2 linked regions of the Schizosaccharomyces pombe genome follow. The protein of the gene in region 2 purifies or fractionates together with the protein of the main gene of each other region. This does not show direct contact. Each region holds a gene or a part of one and is shown on either strand. Other genes may lie near its edges.

What was found.
Region 1: the proteins of mkh1 (region 2) and skb5 purify together in Schizosaccharomyces pombe (affinity purification with western blotting; 2 studies listed by BioGRID, with this or other methods). This does not show direct contact.

Annotation. Positions count from the first base shown.
Region 1 is NC_003421.2:918,752-925,078, forward strand, and holds skb5 (Shk1 kinase-binding protein 5), read left to right. Parts: upstream 1-3,882; 5' UTR 3,883-4,317; coding exon 4,318-4,740; downstream 4,741-6,327. Other genes in the region: yta4 (ATPase Msp1), read right to left, coding at 21-1,088; THO complex subunit Tho7, read right to left, coding at 1,704-1,935, 1,985-2,135, 2,192-2,410, 2,464-2,470; EKC/KEOPS complex subunit Cgi121, read left to right, coding at 2,671-3,195; XRCC4-like factor xlf1, read right to left, coding at 5,461-5,916, 6,030-6,185.
Region 2 is NC_003424.3:611,150-620,356, reverse strand, and holds mkh1 (MEK kinase (MEKK) Mkh1), read left to right. Parts: upstream 1-3,081; 5' UTR 3,082-3,508; coding exon 3,509-6,859; 3' UTR 6,860-6,988; downstream 6,989-9,207. Other genes in the region: sro7 (Lgl family protein), read right to left, coding at 1-1,886, 1,935-2,364, 2,412-2,513; exosome 3'-5' exoribonuclease subunit Rrp6, read right to left, coding at 7,080-9,146, 9,205-9,207. UniProt on the Schizosaccharomyces pombe protein: May regulate cell morphology, cell wall integrity, salt resistance, cell cycle reentry from stationary-phase arrest, and filamentous growth in response to stress. Activates the MAP kinase kinase skh1/pek1 by phosphorylation.

The DNA.
Region 1 (6,327 bases), on a different chromosome or scaffold from region 2:
AAATACTTTTTCTAATAAATTCACTCGACGTCTATACCGGAAACATTTTGTAAGGATTCATAATGATAAAAGTCTTCCGTCTTCAAAGACCTCAAACCGCCTGATTGTATGTCATATTTGATTGCTTCCAAATCATTTCCATGCTTGTCAAAAAGCTCTCTGCGTGGAACTGATAAAGCAGATCTACAGACTTCCTTGATATATGAGCCAGACAGTCCAGCAGTGGCATTAACAACTCCATTCCAATCAAAGTTCGCTTCTAACGGTACCTTTTTTAAATAAAGTTCTAAAATCTTGCGACGCTGTTCGGCATTTGGAAGAGGTATGGAGAATACTTTAGGCATACGACGCCGAATGGCCTCGTCGATGTCAGCTGGTCGATTAGTAGCACCCAAAACAAGAACCCGTGACTGACCACTCAATAAACCATCCCACATCGACATAAATTCAGCTTTAATTTGAGCCATTGCTTCATGGTCTGTCCTTTGGCGTTGCCGCAAGAAAGTATCAATTTCATCGATAAATATTATAGTAGGCTCAAGCTTACGAGCTAGTGTGAATAATGCGTCCACAAGCTTGTTTGATTCACCGAACCATTTGTCTGTTAAAAGGCCCACACTCACATTTATAAATGTAGCTTGACTTTGCTTGGCTAATGCTTTAGCTAGCATTGTTTTACCACATCCAGGAGGCCCGTACAAGAGTAAACCCTTTGGACACGACAAAAGTCCGCCATGGGTGTCAAACACTTCAGGGTATTTTAAAGGAAAAAGTACATCTTGCAAAAGCTGATTAACATGTTCATCCATACCTCCAATATCATCAAAGGAAACATCGATTTCGCTGGGTAGAACGAGCTGTGATGCAACAATCTGCTCATACTCATTTAATTCCAGAGTCTCCAATTCCTTGACTTGTTCCCCAGCCCACTCATCAAGTCGCTTACGGCTTTTGGAAACTGTATCCTGCCTTTTTTGTCGATACGGATCTAAAGTAGACAAAAGTTTATGTGCTGCGTACCAAGAGCAACCAAATGCTAAGGCATAGACAACGATCTCTTTAATTGCCCTTTTAGTCGTCGGATTCATAATCAATTCCCCAGTAATAAACTTCAAAATGCAAGCACACAAAATTTTATGCAGTAAATTTGTCTGGTGGCACGCTACTACTATTGGGGCGGTTGGTATGTTCAGCTAAATGGGTAAAGAAGATATACAAAGTTGATCGTACTTTGCTACATTGTTTGGAAAATATATTCATTGAAAAAATTATTTTTAAATAAAAAATTTTCATTTTCCTAAAGAAACAATCCCAATGGTTTCAAAGCGCAGTTATCAATTATCAAAAGTGGTAATGTAACAATAAATATTTACTCTCTGTGCCAAAAGATTTGGTTATAGATGAAATAACAATTAGTAAACAATAATAATTAAGCAGAGATTTTTTCTGAGTAAATAACCCATTGAAAAATGAGAATAAAAATGGAGCGAGAAACCTTTTAGGAGATTTGGATATACTTATAAATATCCAAAAGGGAACCTAACGGAACTATATACAAAACAATAAAGGACATATCAAGACTAAATCGCTATGCCCGTCCAGTGAAGCTCACTGTTTAACATATCCTAAACGGAAAAACCATTCCTATCATTCGTAAATTCACGAAAATTTTTAAATTATATACAATTTTTTCCTCCTAGGATTTATTTGGCCTTGTATTGAGTCGAACTTGACGACGAAGGATTTTCACCTTCACTAGCAATGCCTTCTTCTGAATCAGATTCGGGATTACTAGGAGGATGCAATATAGACTGTAGGTGGTTCATTTGCTTTAAAGTTTCATCAAAAATATCTTTTCTCAAATTCCATGCTTTTACATAATTCGCGTTTTCTTCTTCTAACTCACGAATAGCATCTTGCAACTTTCCTATTGATCTGTAAACCCGGTCAGTCTAAAATATTCAATATAAATCTGGAAACTTACTCTTGTTGTTCTGTTCTTGATCTCAATCCTTTTGACATTATTGGCTTGGCCAACTCGTCGTATTGTTCACGCTTTCTTAATTCTTCTTGGGCAACTAGTAAATCTTGCTCAAGCTGGCTTATTTCGGTTTTTTCTGCTTCACAAAATGTTTCTGAAAATATTAATAAAAACATCACTGTACTTAAAGTTACGAATTTAATCACATACGAGTCTTCTTCAGTTCTCCTTCGTAAACATCCACTTCTTTAGCATTCATGTCTAATTGCATTTGCAATCGAAGCCAAAAAGCAGAGAGAGCAGAAAATTCAATTTCTAAATCCCTTAAGTTTGCTTCGTCTACATTTTGAGCAGCAAAACCAAGACACCGACTAATCAACCGTTTCAAAGGCCGTTCTTCCACAGTTAAGCGCGATCGAATCGCCGTCTCTGACATATCGGTTAACTTAATATTTTCAAAAAAAAAATTATTTATAGCATACCCTCCATAATGAATTGAGTAAAAAAAAAGCAAATTCACTATACAATTTAGTTGGGCGCTAAGTCAGTAGCTGGAGTGTTCGGAGTTTTAGTCACCGTATTTTACCGATGTTTACCGGCAAAAAGTTATTAGTACGATTATTACCTAAGAAATGTAAAAACGCTAACAAGGATTGCAGTTTGATATTGCTATAGAACAGGCGGGCAAAATGATTTTACCTCTTTTTCCAGAGACACAAGTTCATGTTTTTGTATATGAAAATGTTTCTAACTGTGCTGCGATTCATGAACAACTAATAAGCCAGAATCCCATTTATGACTATGCGTTTCTCGATGCCGCTACTATTCTATATAAAAAGCAGGTTTATAGCGCTATTATTAGGGCTCTCGAAGATAGAAGGGACGAACAAATGAAAACTAAGACGATTCACTCAGAGGTTATTTTGTCATTGTCCCCAAAAACCGAAATTTCTAGTGCGTTCCGACAATTCAGCATGACAAAAAAATCTAAAAACATTGTAGTGGTAAAAATTGATAGCAAACTTACAGAAGAAGAAGAATTTGAGCGCTTGGACAAACTTGTGGAAGGTAATAGGGTCGAATTTTCTGACGAAGAGTTACAAAAATTAATAGACTTCAAGGTGTTAAAAAAGAATTACAAATTGGATCCCTCTACGCTTGAGAATCCTTTGGCCTCTATATTATCTTCGATAGCTCTACGTGGTTATTCTTAAAAACATATGTTCTAGCAAATCTGATCTTTTGTCAATGTTTCACAATTGATTTGACTATTTTTCTATGCGGCTTGAATGATAATGATGAGAGTTCCAAATGGAACGTTGTGTGGATTCTTCTATTCCTTATAATTTTTTCCTCTCTCAAATGACTGTACAAACTATTTAGCAAGCACCTACATAATCAATTTTTGATTTACGAATTGGTAAAGGATGGCACGTAAAGTTATGCCCTCTGGTTTGGTTCAGTTTTATGATCTCTTGACAGTTTTACTAAAGTAACTAAGGGCATTTCATTACGATTATCTGTTTCGATACTTTTACCTAGGGAATGCTTTAGTGTTATTTGACATCATGTTTTGTTCTTGTGCAATATTTTTTGCTCAGGTCTATTGGCGATGAATTACTATATGGTGGATCTCAGTGCAAAAAGTTTACCATTATGTGAATAGTTATTAAAAGTTTAATGGGATTATAAATTAATGGGTTTTTTATTGCGCACCTTATGCTCCTGTTATAAAGAAAAGCAGGTCGCAAAGGTAAGAACTATTTTTATACAACAATAAAGGTTTTTACATCGTATGTTTTACAATTAACTGGCAGCTCTTTGTCAAAATTGTTTATTTACGGATTTAACTTGCCTTCTTGCGGTATTGACTGCTAAGCCGGAATTTGTGATATCAAGCCATCCGTTTCCCAGTCACGCGAAAACTCTTCCTTATGGAAATTTCATTTTAACAAGTACAAATCTGTTAAAACTACATTCATATAATCATATGCAGGCAGCCGATTAGAGAAAAACTAAATTTCTTAGGCAGAATTGTCATTATCCGTCAATACCGCGTTTTTTTTATTTTCCGCTTTGATTTTTTTTATCATTCTTTTTGGTTCTTTTATTTTTGTTTTTATTTGTTTTGTTTTCTTTTTTTCCTTTTCAAAAGTCATTTGAAGACAAAAACTCAACGTTGAAGAGAGCATTTGTTCATCTGTTGACTTTTCGCCAATACACCTGTTTTTTTATGGACTTGCTAAGTATAGTGTAAATTTAACGCTGTCGTTGATCCGTATGATTTCTTTTGATTAATTTAAATCGTTATATGTGACACTAGCAATTTTTGCTTCATGGCGGAAGAGACTGAAGAGGATTATTTAGTTGTGGGTCGTGATTACTTGTACCCCCCAGATCATGAACTGCACTATGGGTTTCATGCTCGTGTGATTGAAGAGGAGGAGGAGCGATTTGTAGATGATACCTTTGATGAAACAATCGAAGGATCGGATGACTCCGAATCAATAGATGATACGGAAGTATTTTACGATGCTGAAGAATCTGAAAGCACTCACCCTTCTGCTTCTTTCAACGTCCTTGCTGACGCCGTTGCGCTTTATGATTTCGAGCCCCTCCATGATAATGAACTCGGTTTTACTACTGGTCAGAGACTTTGTATTTTGTCGGAATCCAGCGATGGTTGGTTGATTGCATACGATGATGCCTCAGGAAGAAGCGGGCTTGTTCCTGAGACGTTTGTTAAATTAGAGGTATAAAAGAGCGTTGAATTGAACCCTTTTTACTTTTTCTTTTTGTCAAATTGATTTTAAAATGTTATTCCTTATTTTATGTTCCAAGATTTTCTGGATCCTCTCCTTTATATATAAGAATCCGAAGTGTTACGGGAAAAAAATTCGGATTGTCACGCTTCTTATGAATATTATTTAAATGTACGCCTTTAAAGCAACTATCATACAATTCTCCTTTGGGTAAATAACTAACCTTGGGATGTGTCGTAACTTGGGACTTATTTTTGATTTGTTATAAGGATGAAATGAATGTTCTATCTTATGGACCTTACAAGAAAAACTATAATATTGTCAAATATAATCATATGAGATGAGTTAAGCTACATAAAACTCTTTGAAACTTTATTTTATATTATTGCAACCTTCTAATAACTTTACATCTTCTTATCCAAAGAAGAAGGGTTAGAATGTACCGTGTTTTACGGAAGTTCCATTCCCGTAGGGTTACAATGTGTTGCTAGAATAAACCGTAAGTCATAGTACATATAGAGGCCAATTCTGTAAACTTTTTTAAAGTCTATGGAAAACCCTCTATGTGTCTCCAATAGAGAACGGACATCTCTTTCTGATTAGTATATACGTTTTCATAGTCTCTTCATCCTGAGGTAAATTGTACAAAACGCTGTAGTTAAACATGTGATCGAGTTAAATAGATATCTTCATAGTTCAATATACCATTAGATTTTTTTAAACAAAATCATAACGAGTACGAGGTCGTTTTGGAGAAATAATATCTGCAAATGCTGAACGTTTTCTTGGTGTGGAAGGATTGGAAGACGAGGATCTTTCATTTAATGCTTCCTTGAACCAAGTCTTGTCATTCAATAAAGACTTTTGATCACGAATAATGGACATTAACGATCCTGGACTAGTGTCGGTTTCTGACTCGAATAAGTGATGATTGATAAGAGGAAACCATACCATCTTGGCAATCGTCTCTGGTGGAGTAAGCCAAAGGGTCCAATTCCATTCTAAGAAAATATCTTTAGCTATTTTTGAGGTACAGAAAATTTTTAAAGATCCCTCGTCATTTGAGCCTCGTAGTTGAATTCTACTTTCAGAAGAAACATTCACCAGCACTTCAGCCAGTACATCGACTAACGTTTCAAACGTTTGAAATGGATCGATAGGACATCTTTCGCTCTGTTTAAAAGTTAATATAACTCTTGGTTGAGAGAAAGGTGTTAATTTGGTTGCATTTATAACTGCTTTTCCCCTGAAAGCATAGTAGCAATGTAGTTGTTAACTAATCTTACCTCTGCCTGATTGACGATTTGATTGCGGCTACATGTACAGGACCAAACACGCACTAGGTCTGTAATATGAATGACTTGTACAGCCTCATTACTTTCTGCGTCGAAGCTAGCCTGTATAAAATGAAACCTGTGGCCACGTAGCTGCACCCAAGACATCAAGTATAAACAAATGCAATGTCTTGTTCAGTATCTCAAATTGATTATAACAGCAATTCAATTGAAAATATTAAAGCTAAATCACTAAAATAGAAGAAATAAGCTCAGCAATGGTCACAGTTGAGAATTCGAGTTTGCAAAG
Region 2 (9,207 bases):
TGGAAGTTGCATTTTACGTTCCTCACGAAGGTTTGGGAGAGAATACCAATTCACCGAAAGATCAGAATTTACGCAAACTACGGAACCCATGTGTTTGGAAACAGTAGAAAGCACAAGAGCTGCTCGACAACAAACAGGTTTTCTCCAATCCAGGTTACCCACTTGATTATTAATTTTATTAAAAACAGAAATTCCTGAATCGCCAATATACACGAGGAAAACTTCCTGTGGTAAGGGATATCCAACGCTTTGTAATGAGGATCCAGTGGCTGTCGCGATCTGGCCATCTTGAGTTAAAGAGCATATTTTATAAATGTTCTTAATATCTAATTGTCGAGATGATTCAAAATAAGCAGAAAAGCGCCCTGAAGAGGAAGGGTCTATACGGAATAAAAGTGTCATCCCTCTATATGTTCCTGTGACTACGTAGATTGAGGAAGGGCTTCCTTTAGGGTTCATAACGACAAACTCGGCACTCGTAAGAAAATCGGGATCAGGTTTTCCTCTTCTCTCTAATCCAAGCTCCGAGATGCTGGTGTTACACAGTATATGGGGGCCACGCATGTCGATGATTGTAATTCCACCATCCTGATATCCTATACAAACAAAACCAATATTGCTCATTTGGTTCAATGTTACTCTTCCTCGTTTAAGATCAATATAATATTGAGCATGTAATGTTCCCTCTAGAACTAAGGTATCGTCCAAACGATATATTCCGTTAGCGAGCTGAGCTGGTAAATTTTCTTTATGATTTTTCCTTTTGCAAACAATGACACGCCCAAAACTATCAGCACAACTGAATTCTGGATTATAAGTGGAAAAAGAGGCAGTAGTTATAAAAGCTGAAGGCGTGAGATGCTTTCGCATTACAGAAGAGAAATCCAAATTTACGCAGAGAGATGGATTCATAAAACCCTGAGATATATCCCAAATCGATAAACTAAGACCAGTCGATGTTATAAGTAGATTACGCTCATCTAATTTCTTAAGATAGCCGGGACTAGGAGATCCGCCAAAAAGACAGGAGTAATGTGAATTAACGGAAATAGTATCTTCAATTTGATTCCAAACTTTTTTTGTTACAGTTTGAAATGCTATAACTCGAAAATCTGAAGCAAGGAAGCATAAAGAGGGGGGAATAGAAAGGCTCATGTTTGAAATATTTCCAGTAGAAATGTCGAGCAGCGATAACGAGTTGTCTTCCGAAAGAAGGAGAAGATTCTTGGGATTATGAGATCCATTGTAATGTGGTGAGCTAGAAGGAATCACCAGCATATCACGTACAGGGGGGATGTCAATAAAAGGAAAAAAGCGTTGTGAGTTTGGATTTGCGAAAAATTCCGCAAATGTTTCAACATCCTTTTTGGCAGGGAGATTTCGATAACTGAACAATGAAATTCCCTTTACCGGTGCTTCTTTCGGCAAACCACCTAACATCAAAATAAATGAAACTGTTGGGTCTTCACAACAACACCACCTCATAGACCTAATGGGCTCAAGCTCCGTCTTAGGAGGATTTCTCTGCATGGGGGTATACGTGTGTATGTTTGAATCGACAAAATTTCGGACTTGTACAGGATATTCTTGATCCACATCCCAGAATGCAAAAGTCGAATCAGTATAGTAACTAACAAAGTGATCACCCCAAGGACTCCACTCTATCCCTTTGACTATAGGTCTTCGATAATTATGGGGTGATAAAACTGCAGCTGTACTACCTGGTGCATACTCCAATTCATAAAAGCGTATAACTTCGTCAGTCCTTATTGAGTACAAAACAACGCCATCCGGATATGCAATCAAAATCACACCGAGATCCTTCGGGTGAATCTGAACGCTTACAACTGGGGATAGCTTTCCAGGAACTGGTGCATAAGAGTAGCCTGAAAATTAGTAATAAATTCAAATAAACAACAATGACCTCAACGTACCCATCATTCGCCATTCCTCGTGTCTTGGGACATACAAATTTGGAACTTTGAATTTTCCAAGGCAATGTCTAGTAACATCCCATGGCACAACGGAGCCATCACTCATTCCAAAAAAAACCCAATCAATAGTAGGATCCGTTACGGTACATGTAACTTTTTGCTTGAGAAAGTAAGTGGCAGCTGGTTTTGAAAGGTCACGATGTTTCATCAAGGGATAGCTTAAGACCGTATTTCGAGAGTCAATTACAATCAAATACGCCGCACAAAGGGCTATATGGACAATGGTTGAACAGTCTGGAACTATCACACTCTGGACATGCTGTTTACCGTAAATGTATATCCGATTAGTACTAGATACAATAGCTAGTAAGCCTTGTTGATGGTCTAAACACCATAATACTGGATTTAAGGAAAACCCAAATCGATTCAACTAATCTTTGTTATTAAACATTCAACAAGCATTGCTTCCCTACTTACGTCGTCTATCGATAGTGAAGCATTTGAAGACGTATGGGTCTTCAAATTGGATTTGGATAAAATTTCTTTTCCCTTACTTAGCTTTTTTTTAAAAAAGCTCATATTTTCCCAATTCTTGGTATAAATATACTAATCATGTTATACCCTCGTAGCATATACAAACTCACGCTCAACTCGTGTTAGAGAACGCTATTTTTGGATAACGTCTTGTGCCGTTAAACCAATAATAATGTAAGCTACGCAGTTTGGTATCTGATTTAAGGATACGTAAACTGCGGTGAGTTTTCCTTGTAACCTATTATATTACAATAAACAGGTTGTATGAGTAGCAACTGAGTATTGTATTAACTGTGTTATAATGTTACCTATCACTAATATAGCTCATAACTGAACTGAGGAACGAGGTTCAGTTGTAACGCTATTTATAATATTTCTAAATAGTTGTTATCAACTGGTAACTAGTATATAGATGGATAGTTACCCGTGATTATCAATAAACGGATCTTAGCTAGTATTCCAACATATGACATATAGTGATACACAACGTAGTGTATCATAGCGTAATGTAGTATTGCTGACAAATAATGAGACTTCTAATTTTATCCTTATAGCACTGAATTCGACTTTGCATCATTCACTAGTCAAACCGCAAGCGATTTTGAGCGGGCCTAAAGCCAGACACCAAGCTGGAGATTGCTTGGTTTACCCGTGAAGGTTTATAGAATCGAAATATCAGTTTTACATTGATAAAGTATCTATTTTTAATTCTCTATTATTTTCTAACAGGCTTCTGTGGAATTGGCGGTATCATACGGGCTGCATGTCAAAACACATGGGAAGTCTTTTTGCAATATCTTTAAACCCTGAGTACTAGTGATTCAACATTTCTCTCCTTTCTTAATATTTTATTTACCTGCAAGAAATTGGGCTATTACTAACATCCCAAGTCTGTCTTTTGCAAATTAGTTCACTCGTTTCAGCCGAATCTTAATTTTTTTAATCATAAACTACTTAAGCAGCAATCTCCAATTCGTTTGACAAAAAAAAGGTTTTTTATCTTGAATTCTTTTCAAAGTAACTAATACTGTTCTGGGTATATGGCTGCCGATATCGGATCGCAGTCATCAGGCTCTTTGGAAGAACGGTTTGAACAGTCTCTTCATCTTCAGAATGTCGATAAGCAAGATTGGTCACTTAACAGTGTACTTCAGTTTTTAAAACTATACAAATTTAACAAAGAATGGGAAGACGTTTTTATTAAAAGTCGAATCGAAATGGATTTATTTATCAATTTGGCCGATCAATCAAAAGCCGAGGAATTCGCCTTTAAAAATAAATTGAGCAAGGAGTCTGCCATCCAATTGAGTAGCTGTATTCGCAAAACACTTTTAGCACCTTCTTCGACTCGCGTACCTAGCAAAAACTCGTCTTACGAAACATTAACTTACAGCGCCAAAGATAGTTCGGATGACGTTTTTACAGAAACTAACTCTGGTTTCCGCTCTTCAAATCAAAATTCGTCCCTCAAAAGCTTTCAGAGTGTTCCTGATAGCAATGTGAACGTGTTTGGTGGCTTCGGTGGATCAGTAGTCGACAACAATGAGCTATTGAGCACAGGAAAAAACTCCCATCAAACAACCTCTTTAAATTTGGAAGGCTCTCCTATAAACTTACACGCTTACAAAGGAACTGTCACTTCAATAATTAACGATGACAGCAGAAACATTAATAAAAAAACATTGTCGAAACAACCTGTATCCGAACATAAAGAAAAACAAACTAGCTTTCTCCGTCGTTTCCGGGTACCTGGGTTTTCTCGTGACAAGGATAAAACTAAAGATTGCCCTTCTTCAAATTCGAACCCATTCCATTTAGCTTCTTCAAATGTGAAAACATTAGACGCGTCTTTGGATCAAGGTGAGTGGGTACCTCGTATTCATCGTTTAGAAAGTCAAATTGGTTTAATATCCAAAAAGAAGTCATTTGTTCTTGCTACTATGGATGATATGAAATTCACAGTAGTGGATATTACCAACGTCCAAAATGCTACTCAGCTACGTAAGCTAATAGCTAAGAGTATGTATTTAGACATTTCAATTGACCAGTTTGATTTGTTTCTCACGGAAGTCGGCGGGGCTCAATACATAGAAATATTAGATGATAGAAAGCTTGATATTGCAAGGCTTTATTCTGATGAATTTGGAACTATTAAATTTTTCGTAAAGCCATCACAAAATGAAGAATCGGGTATGGATAGTGATACTTATTTATCTTTTGGCACAAAATCAAGTTCAACTTATAAAGCTGATGATGACTCAATATATCATCGCAAGGAAGATTTTAAAAAGCAACCAAGTTACCCTGTGCTTACTTCGGATTTTGAAATTACTGATGCAGGACCTAATTTATCATTATCAGGGCATCAACCTGATAATAAATACTACAAAGGTTTTAGTTCGGCACCGAATTTGGCAGTTGTTCCAGAATTACCATCTCGACGTTTTCGAGGGTTTGAAAAAATCCGTGGTGCTAAAGGAGAAATGGCTACAAAAATTTTGGATGCCACTGAAGCCCAAAGTGAAAAAAACAAATTTACCGTTTGTAGACCTCACAAGAAGGTCACATTGAAAATGCCACTTAATTCCGGCTCTTCCGCTCCCCAAAGTCCTTCATCTAATACTTCTGCTTCTGTTTTAACTAGAAATTTTGTGGCACATAGAGATCCTCCACCCCCACCCACAGAGACATCTAGTTTACGTCGAAAAAATACATTGACTCGTAGACCAAGTATTCGTCACGCTCGGTCCTCTCCTTACATTGATACCGGACATAACGAAGCTAGCAAATTTTCACATACGTCTTTTGACCCCAAAGCATCTAGTAAATCTTCTAATTCATTAAAGGAAAGTGTGGAAGCTTTATCAGAAATACCTTTTGAAGATGCGCCTGCACTAGACGAATCGGATCTTTCTGGGGATCCCTTTTGGGCTATACAGCCCAAACAATCTTCCTCCCAAGTACCTAAAGAAAATCATCACAACATTCAATCCAAACTTTCCATTAACACAGAGGCTGCTACGGATTTGAAAGCAAATGAACTATCTTCGCCTAAAACTCCTGAATACTGTAGAGGTGATGACAGATCCATTAGTTTATCACCGTTATCTTATCGTTTAAGAAAGTCCAAACATATTCGTGAATCCCCACCGTCTTCAAAGGTTATCAATTCTGGTAACTGGGAAGTTCGTCCATCTGCTGATGATCTTTATGAGGATGTTGATCGATTTTTTCCCCGTTATGATTTGGATAAAGTACTTGTAGTGGACCAAAGCCGCATGGTTTCTTCCCCTTCAAAGGTATCGATACGTCCGAAAATGAAGTCTGTACGATTATTAGCCCGCGAAGCATCTGAAGCTCGGAAAGAAATACGACATAACGCGAGACGCAATAAATCTGGAAATCTTCTACGTCGATCAAGTACGAAACTTTGGGGCTCTAGGATTGTAGAACTAAAACCAGATACTACTATAACTTCTGGATCAGTTGTTTCACAAAATGCCACGTTCAAATGGATGAAAGGAGAATTGATTGGAAATGGTACTTATGGTAAGGTATTTTTGGCTATGAACATTAATACGGGTGAATTGATTGCAGTAAAGCAAGTTGAAATACCACAAACTATTAATGGCCGTCATGACCAATTACGCAAAGATATCGTGGATTCCATTAATGCAGAAATTTCTATGATTGCCGATTTGGATCACTTAAATATAGTGCAATATCTGGGTTTCGAAAAGACGGAAACGGATATAAGTATATTCCTGGAATATGTTTCAGGTGGTTCAATTGGTCGATGTTTGCGGAATTATGGTCCTTTCGAAGAGCAACTGGTCCGTTTTGTATCACGCCAGGTGCTCTACGGGTTGTCTTACTTACATTCTAAAGGTATTATACATCGAGATTTAAAGGCTGACAATTTGCTCATTGATTTTGATGGAGTTTGCAAAATTTCAGACTTTGGAATATCTAAGCATAGTGATAATGTGTATGACAATGACGCAAACCTGTCCATGCAAGGATCCATCTTTTGGATGGCACCTGAAGTAATTCATAATGATCATCAAGGATATAGTGCTAAGGTCGACGTCTGGTCCTTGGGATGTGTAGTGTTGGAAATGTTAGCTGGTCGTAGACCGTGGTCTACAGATGAGGCTATCCAAGCTATGTTCAAGTTAGGTACCGAGAAAAAGGCGCCTCCTATTCCTAGTGAATTGGTGTCTCAGGTATCACCCGAAGCGATTCAATTTTTGAATGCATGCTTTACTGTGAATGCTGATGTAAGGCCAACCGCAGAGGAATTATTAAATCACCCGTTTATGAAATGTGACGAAGAATTCAACTTTAAGGACACGAATCTTTACGACATGCTTTGTAAAAGAAAGAGCTAAATTGGTCGCAATTATTATTTATTACTTAGCGTTTCCTCGCAGGGGCATGCATTCTCAATTTCTTCTTATAGCTATTTATTTAATATTGAAATTAATTTTGAAAATTATTACATTATTATACAAACAAACATACATGATCATTTTCAATTTCTACAATGTATTTAAAAGTAAATTTTCATTTTGTCAAAATTGTTTCGTTTATTTAAAATTAAAACTGATATTAATAAGATGTACTCTTCCCGTCTGAAACCTTCCTTTTTTTGAGTTCCCTAGTATTTCGCTTTGGTAAACTTACCTTGTTAAGAGGATTAAAACCCCGTTTCCCAAATTTATTTTTTCCTACATCAGAGTCTAAGTCAGCAATAAAATTCTTTTGATTTTTATAATCAAAAGGTGCTTCATTGATAATTGGACTGTCATTAGAAACATGTTCGGCTTCAATAGTAAGTTTTCCGCTGTTCTTCTTTTTCTTCTTTTGCTTCCGTTTTTTTGACACTGAAGTTGAAGCTTCCGAAGGTTCAATATCTTCATTTCGCTCCTCTATGGGGTTTGAGGGTTCTTTATGATTAAGCTTAGAAGAATCCCTTTTTTGCTTGTTCAGCCCTAAATCCCTAATGACTATAGGCTCTTGTTTCTTCTCTCCATTCAGACTCGGGTTTGCAGCTTCAGTTACAGTGGACTGCTTTACATTCAATTCGGATTCAACATGCCCTTGAGTACAAGGAAGAGTTAATGAAAAAGGAATATTCTGGTTCACTATAAAGAGTCTCTCTTTACGAGCTTTCCGTAAATCATCTTGCGACTGTCCCTCAATCCAAAACGCAGATCCATTTGCCAGCAAAGTCTTTAGTTTACTTCTATTTTGTTTAGAAATCTCGAAAACACTGGAGTCAACTTTGTAATCACCCAAAGTATTCGATTCGGAAAAAACTGCTAGCGGTTGATTTTGCTTCTCAACTTCTTTAAATTGGGATTTCTCACGATCTACTTGCTCATTATACAACTTTTCGGCTTCTTGAACGACTTTAACGATATCTTCAACATACATGCGAGCAATTGGTGTCAATTGCTTAGAAATTGAAAACACATCAGCCGCTTCAACCGGTTTACTGGCGGCAATCGCAATAAGTAAACGATTTGGCAACACATAGCGAACACTTTCATCTTCTTTTCGGGCTACGGAATCTCTCCAATCGTGCAGTGCTCGATAAATCATCAAAGCTTCCCGTCCAATTATTTTAGAAGAGCCAAACTTAGTAAGTACATTTCTCCAGCCATCAGTACCAAGTCCATAAATAGGATCATAAGGCTCAAGTTCATACTTTCTAAGAGATATTTGTTTACTGGAATTGAACACTGATTGCATAAGATTTTCTTTTCTTTCAGCTGATTTTGATATGAGTTCATTTCGTAAATGATCCCAAATATATAACAAATAATGCGTATCAGATTGAGCATATTTTAACATTTCCCGAGGCAAAGGACGGATTCTCCAATCAGCCATTTGGTATCTTTTATCTGCATCATAATCACAATACTTTTGTAACAGAAAAGCCAGACCATGACCCTCAAATCCTAAAACTTTAGTAGCATAGTATGTATCAAATAAGTTTACAACGTAAAGCCCGAAATCTCTTTGCAGCCAAATGATATCCATAGTTGCACCATGAAAAACTTTAATGATATTTGGATTAGTAAAAACAACATTCAAAGCTTCAAGCTCTTCGCGGAGTTCCAAGGTGTCAACAATCCAATCTTTTTCTCTATTACTAATTTGCATTAGACAGACGAACCCTCTAAATGATCTGTAATCATGGTGTTCAAGATCAACGGCTATTTCTTTGCTGTTTTGTAATTCTTTTAGCATATCCGATAACTGACTTTCAGTACTAACCCAGATAGGTTCTGTTTCGTCGACAGAGCCAGTATCGATGGGATTAGACATTTCTGAAACCCATGGAGGATATACGCTATTTTGTATTTCTGGTTCATATGGATGTGGTAACGAGTTTTTGAGACTAGGGTCCAATTTGACTTGAGCGATAATCTTTTCGAGCGGTACTAACGAATGTGGTTTTTCAGTTAACTTCCAAGACCACACAAACTCCCTGGAATTATTAGGCTGTACTCGAAACCTTAATTGAGGCTTAGTAAGATGAGCTGCGTGAATAACCTTGTAGGGCAACTTTTCTTTCTTTGGTTTTTTATTGGCAACATCGCTTGTCGACGCATGGGTTTCGATCGCTGGCTTTTTTAAAAGTCCTTGAGCTTTATCGATAGAATAGTCCTATATTCATACGTCTTAGTTAAATAAAATCCGTTTACAATTTCAAAAATTCACTTACAGC